Nothobranchius furzeri: one gene and its partner. The protein of the gene in region 2 binds, or shares a complex with, the protein of the main gene of each other region. Links are inferred from orthologs where the notes say so. Each region holds a gene or a part of one and is shown on either strand. Other genes may lie near its edges.

Region 1 (3,705 bases), on a different chromosome or scaffold from region 2:
CTCAGACATTGTTTCGTACTACTCATAAATCCATATGCACAATACAAAACTTTATTGTTGTGAAACCACAATATCTATTAACAATAAACTACATCCCCAAATCCGTTGTAGTGACAAAACAGCCTTTTCACTCCCAAGTTGTTTAAAATGTACTGCAATACCATTTTAAGCCGGCAGATGGCGGTATCTGTCCCGATTGCAATGACAATATTGAGAAAACTAACAGTTTATCTCTTTTTATTCCACAATCCACATTGGTAGCAGTTGTCATAAATTATTTCAGAAATTGAGAACTGCTCTGGCGCTCTCCATCTGGCTCTGGTGCTCCCCTGCTTTTCCTGATTCTGTACCGGAGGCCGGTGACCCACCGCCGGTCTTCCACCCGGAAGTGTCTGTGGATCTTCCACTAGATCTGTCACGGATTCGTCTGGGGGAGCAACAAAAATGATGGAAAAAATAAATGCATTAACGCTTCTGATTGCATTACACTGTATATGCATGAAGTGACTGGGAAACGCATTTGTAAACCGCTTGAAATATTTCAAATATTTTCGGTGACAGCCTTGTTTGTTTTGATTTTGTTGATAAAGTAAAAAATAAAAACGTTGGCATGATGAGGCCGATGATGCAATAAGTGCTGCAATTACTGAGGTCACTACTACAGCCGCAGGTACCGTGGCAGCAGTGGTAGGAGGCGTGGCTAGTGCCACTAAAAGTCGTGGTAGGGGGAGTGGCTAGTGCCACTAAAAGTCGGAAGTGTAATGGCAGCAGTGGTAGGGGGCGTGGCTAGTGCCACTAACAGGCAAGAGCAGCAGTGGTAGGGGCGTGGCTAGTGCCACTAAAAGTCGTGGCACCACCCGGAAGTGTAATGGCAGCAGTGGTAGGGGGCGTGGCTAGTGCCACTAAAAGCCGCGGGTGCCACTAAAAGTCGTGGCACCACCCGGAAGTGTAATGGCAGCAGTGGTAGGGGGCGTGGCTAGTGCCACTAAAAGCCGCGGGTGCCACTAAAAGCCGTGGCACCACCCGGAAGTATCAGAGCTGCCACTGTAAGTGCCACAAGCGCTGCCGCTGCCACAAATCGCTCCTGCTGTCTCTCCGGTCGTTTGTACGGTTTGTACACACGTGACGTCATCACGTTTCGAGTAACTTGCGTATGCGTAGAATGCTCCTAGCTCCTACGTATGTGAATTTTGGAAGAAAAAAAACATTACATTTCGTTAAAAATATAAGTATAAATTACATAACCGAATTAAAACAAGTCAAAAACACAAATGATGCTAGCCGAGTTGTCAGAAGACTCACCCTCATTCATTTCCTTTCTAGTTTTTTTTCTTTCAAGTCTCCACTGGACTCCATTTAGAAATTAGCCCATTTTACAAAGATTCTAACAAATAGGAAATGATTACAGCAAACGTCACGAGTCAGTTTATTTCTCGAATTTCTCGTAATCAGGCTTTAGCTCGGTTACATGTAGCCTTCTATTTTGTTGTTTCATAAAACCACTAAAGGACAGAAGCAGAACCCTTATTTTTGAATCTGGAATTTACAAAAACAGAATTGAATATAATTATCTATTTCTGTGTAAAATGTGATGGTTAAAAACATAGACTGTACATACGGTTAAAAATAATGTGACGTTGAACGTAGTTTGGCTAATTTCCAAACTGCGCATGCTCAGGTTCATCCCGGAAGTTTTGAATCTGCAGCAGACAGTAGAGCCAGCGGCCCGTCCGCCCAAAGGAGAGCTCAGACATTAGGTCTGGATCATTTCTCTTAATCTTTCAGGTCCCGTTTTAACCTCGTTAATCCTCGTGTTCTGTCCCACCACAGTTGGACCGGAACCGTCGACGGACCGGAGGATTCTCCGGTCCCGTCTCCTCGCCACATGTCCGGATTCGAACTCGTCCCGGTTGAAGGCGGAGATCCAGTACACCTTTTGCCGGGTGAGACTGTGTTAGGCCGGGGTCCGTTACTGGGCGTGAGTACTCCAGTCTTTAGTCTGGCCGAGCCGGTTCTGATCCGTGTACCGATCCCTTCTTTGGGTTTTACAAGTCTGACCCATCCTGTTCTGCTGTTTCTCAGATCAGTGATACCAGAGTGTCGCGGAACCACGGGCTCCTGGAGAACCGGAACGGACTCAGACTCAAACCGGTACCTTTGGGTTTCTGCTAGTTTAGTTTATTTTTTCCAGCATTGCCACCTTGCGTTATTCTTCTGGCCAGTTTTACACACCCTGCTTCACTGCTGTATGACCTTTAGACCCACCTGAACCCGTGTTTCGTTCAGTCCTCGCTGGATGATGACCCTCGACCTCTGCAGAGAGGCTCCTGGCACCAGCTGCATCATGGAGACCTGTTCTCTCTGCTGCCGGGTCGACTGATCTTCAGGGTGGAGGCTGTTGAAGAGGAGCACACGCCCAGGTACTCCTGCTTGCTTTGAGGCTGATTTCAGATCAGGTGGAGCTTCACTCAGCTCTCACTACCGAAACATCCCTGTCCTCCACAGGAACAGTCAGAACTATGAAGATGAAGCTACCAGACCAGATGTGGAATCTTCTCCAGGTGTTGAACCGGAACAGAATCGAGCTTCACCTCAGCCAGCAGCTCAGAACGGGGGCGGGTCCAACCGTCTCAGCGTGAGACCGGTAAGATGAAAGGCCTTAAAATGCTGATCTGGTTTCTGGTTGTAGCCCGGAGATCTTTGATGGAGATGATAAGTAAAGACACAGGAAACGGGAGTCACGTGATCATATGGAGTAAGCAGGCTCCGCCTCCACAGCAGAGTCATTTTCATTAATCACCAAAGCTTTTAGATTAAATTATTTATTCACTGAAAAAAAAAGCTTAACAATTTATTTGATGATTATTTTTGGATTTGTTTCAGTAGATTTTTAGTTTTAATTCGCTGATGTTTTCCTCTTTAGGACAAACCGACCCAACAGGTGGCCGGAGCTCTGGAGGCTCCGTCTGCTCCCAGGAGGAGGGTTCTACCAGCATGGATGTCTGCAGCTGTCTCAGCCGGGAGTCTGTCCTCAGGTCTGAAAGGTTCAAGAGGGTTCTGATGTTCGAGGGTTCTATGGACAGTCTCAGTTAGAGAAACCAGGTCATGCAGAGGTCAGGGGTCAGAGGAGGTCAGGCTCAGCTCAGAGACAAACTTCGAGGTGGACGTTAAAGTTCTGATTTGAGTTCAGTGTTTGATCAAAAGCTGTTTCTGGGGTGATTTGTGGTTTCTTTCTTTGCTTGTTTAGTTCCGTCGCCTGTGAAGAAAAACAAACAAGCTGCTGCGCCGGCCACGCCCACTGTCACATCCTTACCAGATGGGGCGGAGCTCAGTGATGAGGAGGAGGAGGAGGAGGAGGAGCCAAGAAAAAGAAGAAAGATGAGCAAAGATGAAAAACATCAATCTGAAACAGTTGAGTTCTTCTGCTTAGAGATCCGGACCAGAACCTCCGGTCTGGAACGGGGGTTCTGGTTTGGGTTTCATGCTCAGTGTAAATCAAACCCAGCAGGACTTCTTCTCTTTCTGGAAGGGTTCCACCTCTCATCCTAAAGGATCTGAAATGTTCTGGAATATTAAGGCTCGGAAGAGATCTGAGCTCCCCCTGAATTCCGTACCCGTGTAGAACATCACGTTTTCTCTGCGTGTTTTTCTGTCCTCTGGTTGGTTTAAACGTCCTTTTGGTCTCCTGGATGATTGAAGGATCAT
Region 2 (4,439 bases):
CAAAAAGTTAAACTTGCATGCGAGATTCATTCATTACACACAGCCCGATATATTTCAAATGTTTATTTCTTTAAAGGTGCATTATGTAGAAATGAAGTAAAAATGTGGTAATATTTGTTTACTGCACCGCAACCATTTTAAACAACTCTGGAGATTTTTTGCTGGCCGTTGTCAAATTACAATTGTCGGCGCAGCAGTATTAGCTCACAGGAGACACGGCAACCCCACACTCACTGATGGTAAACAGCAGTCACGTTCCTCCTTCCTTTGTTAAGACATGAGAAAAGCTGACAATCCCCACAGCCAGCTGGATATGAAATACGTTTCAGTATAATCTTCCTTCCAAAATGACTGAAACATTACTCTTTTGGGATTTTCTCACTGTAAAATTCTCCCTATATTCTTACATACTGCACCTTTAATGTTGATTATAACGGCCAACTAATGAAAATCCAAAGTTCAGTATCGCAGAAAATTTGAATATCAATTAAGACTAGGGGTGTAACGGTTCACGAGGGAGTGTTAAACCGTTTCGGTTCGGTCCACTTGCGTATCGTTTCGGTTTATTTTTTCCGTTAAATAATGAATATTTATTGGTGTGATTCAAGTGCAGCGGATAAAAATTCCTACATGAGTTTCTGCACGGACACTGAATTGAGTGACGCATGATGGCTGCACGCGCCCAGTCTCTGTAAAAAAAAAGGCGATGTGCAAATTCTGACCAACACCTTTCAGAGCGGATCAAACCAGCTGGCTGTCGCTGCTTCTGGAGTCTGTAGAGATGCTGAACGGAGCGTCACCTGTCTCCCTTCTCTCACACTGCAGGCACGCAGCAGCAAAAATGTAAACAAACACGTCTGCTGAACTTTCCCCTTGACAACTGATGTAAAGTTTTCAACCTACAACCAAACACCCAGGAAGCACGTTCGTTTTAAAGAAGAAACTCTGGGTGGTGTGAGGTGAGTTTTTAAGGCTCGCTGCAGAAATAAACTGTGAAACTAATGCTACGGAAGTTCCGGAGGGCCAAAAAGGCGCTATTACATAAATTACACTTTTTTTTTAAATCACCCGCAACAAAAAATTCGAATTAATTCATTCAATTGATTTATTGCCCAGGCCTAGTCCAGGATATTGCATCCTCCTCTTCACAATATCCCATAGGTGTTCAAGTGAGTTTCCTGGTCAATCAAGAACGGGAATACCATGGTCACTGACCCTGTGTGCAGGTGCCAAGTTCTGTTGGAAAATTAAATCTGCATCTCCATAAATTTGGTCAGCTGCAGGAAGCATGAAGTGCTCTAAAACTTCCTGGTAGACAGCTACGTAGACCTTATACCTCAGAAAACACAATGGACCAACATCAGCAGATGACACTGCACCCCAAACCATCAATGACTGTGGAAACTTTACACTGTACCTCAAGCAATGCGGATTATGTTTCTCTCCTCTCTTCCTCCAGACTCTGGGACCTTGATTTCCAAAGGAACATAACTTTGGATCACTCAGCAGCAGTCCAGTCCTTGTCTTTAACCCAGGCAAGACGCTTCTGAAGCGGTCATTTCTTCAAAAGTGGATTGACACAAGGAATGCGACAGCTGAAGCCCATTTCTTGAATATGTCTGTGTGTGGGTGGTTCTTGAAGCACTGACTCCAGCTGCAGTCCACTCTTAGTGAATCTCCACATTTTTTAATGGGTTTTGTTTCACAATTCTCTCCTGGGTGCAGTTACCCCTATTGCTATTACAAGTTTTTCTACCACATCTTGTCCTTCCTTTTGTCTCTCTATTAATGTGCTTGGACACAGAGCTCTGTGAACAACCAGCCTCCTTATCATGACCGTTTGTGTCTTGCCCTCCTTGTGGAAGATGTCAATGGTCATCTTTTGAATAACTGTCAAGTTAGCAGTATTCCCCATGGTTCTGTAGCTTACAGAACAAGACTGAGACCATTAAAAGGCTCTTTTTTTTTGGCTGATTAGAGTGTGGCACCTGGGGGCCTTCAATATTGAACATTTTCACAATATTCTAATATCCTGAGATACTGAATTTGGGATTTTCATTAGTTGTCAGTTATAATCATCAAAATTGAAGAAATAAACATTTGAAATACATCAGTCCGTGTGTTAAGAATGCATCTAATATACAAGTTTCACTTTTAAAAGTAATTACCTTTTTCATGAAATTCTAATTTAATGATCAGCACATGAACATGCTCAAATCACTTGACTTTAAAATGTTATTGTGCTACATTCAGATATGTCAATTAAAGTTGAGTTCAAACGCATGCTTAAAGATCCATCTCTTTCAAAACCCTAAAAACATCATTCTATAATTTAAGCATTTTCTAGGATTTACAACTGAAATAAAAGCCTGATTTAAATATCTCTGTTCAGTGTCACCTGGGCAAATAAAAACAAACTACCGACATTTGACATCAAAAGGGCCAAAAACCAACCTGCAGAATGACTGATGTCTGTTTCTCTCCGGGTCTTGCTGCTTTCCACTTTCTGTAGGTGTCTGAGCTCAGGAGATTGTCTGCTTTATGCGTCTGTTTTATGTTGAAAGTGGGTTTAGTGGAAGCTCAACAGCAGCTGAACATCGACTTTACATGATACAAAAAAAAACTTACACTGTCCTCTGAGCTGCAGGACACGACATGTTTCAGTTGGATTTCTGGCATATTTTGACAAGTTCAAACTTACTTAACCATAAAAACCGTCAACCGAGCGCTTTAAAGATCTAGCGAATCCGTATCAGGTTCAAGACACATAAAACGAAACCAGATTTCGTTTAGTGGCTGTACTTCTCTCGTTAGTCTGCGTTAAACAAGCTGTTGACTAAGCTGATAGCATGCTAGCAAACAATAGATAGTGAACTTTTCCTCATTCGTTTGGTAATTCGTTGTATTTAAATGACTGCTGCGCACAAAATGTTTACACTGCTGTATGCTTGACAAATACCCGTTTCTTTGTCAGCAAAGTAAACTACTGAATTTTCGTGTTAACACGCTTAATTTAACGTAAAACGAGCGAAAGGGTGTCCACATTTTCCCACCAAAAGGCTGCACATTTGACAACCTGACGTAACTTCCAAACAACCGATTTTCTGTCCAATGAGAGCGTTTCTTTTTCTTCTTCTTTTACCATAATTACTTTACACACGTGAGCGCCCCCAAACGGGAGAACTGTGAACTGAGACATCACTAATAAATAGTTTTAAAGATTTAAAAATGTTAACTTACTTTTCTTTTGTTTATATCCTGAAAATGTGTTTTATTTTATAAATTTTAGGGCAGAATTATTTTAGTATTTAAATGTGTGGCAGTGTGAGCGTCCTGTCACAGTGTCCCGATTGATATGCGCCCTGGCTGGCTACTAAGCCAAAGAGATGTTTGACTGACTGGTTCGGTTCGCGCGCGTGACCCTGCTCGGGCCTGCATGTAAATATAAAATGTTATTTTAATACTGTGTAGTACTATTAGTTATTTATTGTATTTAATCTTTTAAATTTAAATTATTTCTGTTGTTTTGTTCATATTTTTGCTAATAATAACAACCCACTTTTATTGTCATATCAATTGTTTTCAGTATATGTCATATATACTTAACTGAAAATGTTCTAAATCTGAAAATAGTTATCGACTGAAGCTGTTTATTTTGCTTTTTCTTGGACAATGATATAAAAGAACACCAAATGTTTTTGATTATTGTAAAATAAAGTTGTGAGGAAAAAAGTTAATACAATCACAGTTTTTACATTCCTGCCCAAACATAAAAGCAGTGATTCTTTATTTCAAAATGTTTTATATTCAATAACAACTTTATTAATGCTCAAATTAATTATCACGGGCAAAAACAAACAAACAAAAAACATCCATAAAACGAAAAATTTCACTTTATCATCAGAAGGGTTAAAGCCAGTCTGTGGGATTGGTGCAAAGTATCATAACACCGGTTGTCCTAAAGTTTAATCAGAAGTTGAACTTTAAGATCATCTGACTAGTAAAACGTTTGGGCTGAAAAGAAAAATTACTGACGTAACAAAAATTGTAAGAGTGCTTAAGCTCAACAAGATTCCAGATATCTGAATCAGTGAATGCTGCAGCAACATGTGGCGGGAAACATGAATGACTGATCCTCCGGAGTTCGGAACCATTTTTAATCATTATTTTATGAGAAGAAACAGTTCAGAGGACCTCCAGGTAGATGCCTGTCTCTGGATCAGCACCCTGCACCTCCCTTGTTGCTCTGACCCCTACACCACCTTGTCTATCAACACGTCCATCCTCTCTACCTCTTTTTCTCTCCCCACCTCTTCGACCCATTGGACGGAGCTAAAAAGGGAAAAGAAAAACAGATTATCAGAATAAAAAGTGGGGACATCCACAGATGTCTTCTGTGAGAAACACTTCCTTTGAAAGTACAAATTCATACCTGCTCA

The links.
Region 1: the proteins of xrcc1 (region 2) and aplf are in contact, whole or in part, in a crystal structure (PDB 5W7X), measured with the Homo sapiens proteins. The link is inferred for Nothobranchius furzeri from reciprocal best matches to the Homo sapiens genes XRCC1 and APLF. Residues at the interface, in NP_006288.2 of Homo sapiens: Pro514, Tyr515, Ala516, Gly517, Ser518, Thr519, Asp520; in NP_775816.1 of Homo sapiens: Arg27, Gly28, Pro29, Gly32, Ile33, Thr34, Lys36, Arg37, Val38, Ser39, Arg40, Arg41, His58, Asn60.

What each region holds. Positions count from the first base shown.
Region 1 is NC_091746.1:29,723,689-29,727,393, forward strand, and holds part of aplf (aprataxin and PNK-like factor), read left to right. Parts: intron 1-1,647; exon of another isoform or gene 1,648-1,757; intron 1,758-1,830; 5' UTR 1,831-1,885; coding exon 1,886-1,978; intron 1,979-2,082; coding exon 2,083-2,151; intron 2,152-2,259; coding exon 2,260-2,420; intron 2,421-2,505; coding exon 2,506-2,644; intron 2,645-2,923; coding exon 2,924-3,035; intron 3,036-3,247; coding exon 3,248-3,411; intron 3,412-3,705. UniProt on the Homo sapiens protein: Histone chaperone involved in single-strand and double-strand DNA break repair.
Region 2 is NC_091745.1:68,574,791-68,579,229, forward strand, and holds the start of xrcc1 (DNA repair protein XRCC1), read right to left. Parts: upstream 2,908-4,439; 5' UTR 2,680-2,907; coding exon 2,629-2,679; intron 2,548-2,628; coding exon 2,455-2,547; intron 1-2,454. Other genes in the region: sialic acid-binding Ig-like lectin 5, read right to left, coding at 4,186-4,332, 4,433-4,439. UniProt on the Homo sapiens protein: Scaffold protein involved in DNA single-strand break repair by mediating the assembly of DNA break repair protein complexes. Negatively regulates ADP-ribosyltransferase activity of PARP1 during base-excision repair in order to prevent excessive PARP1 activity.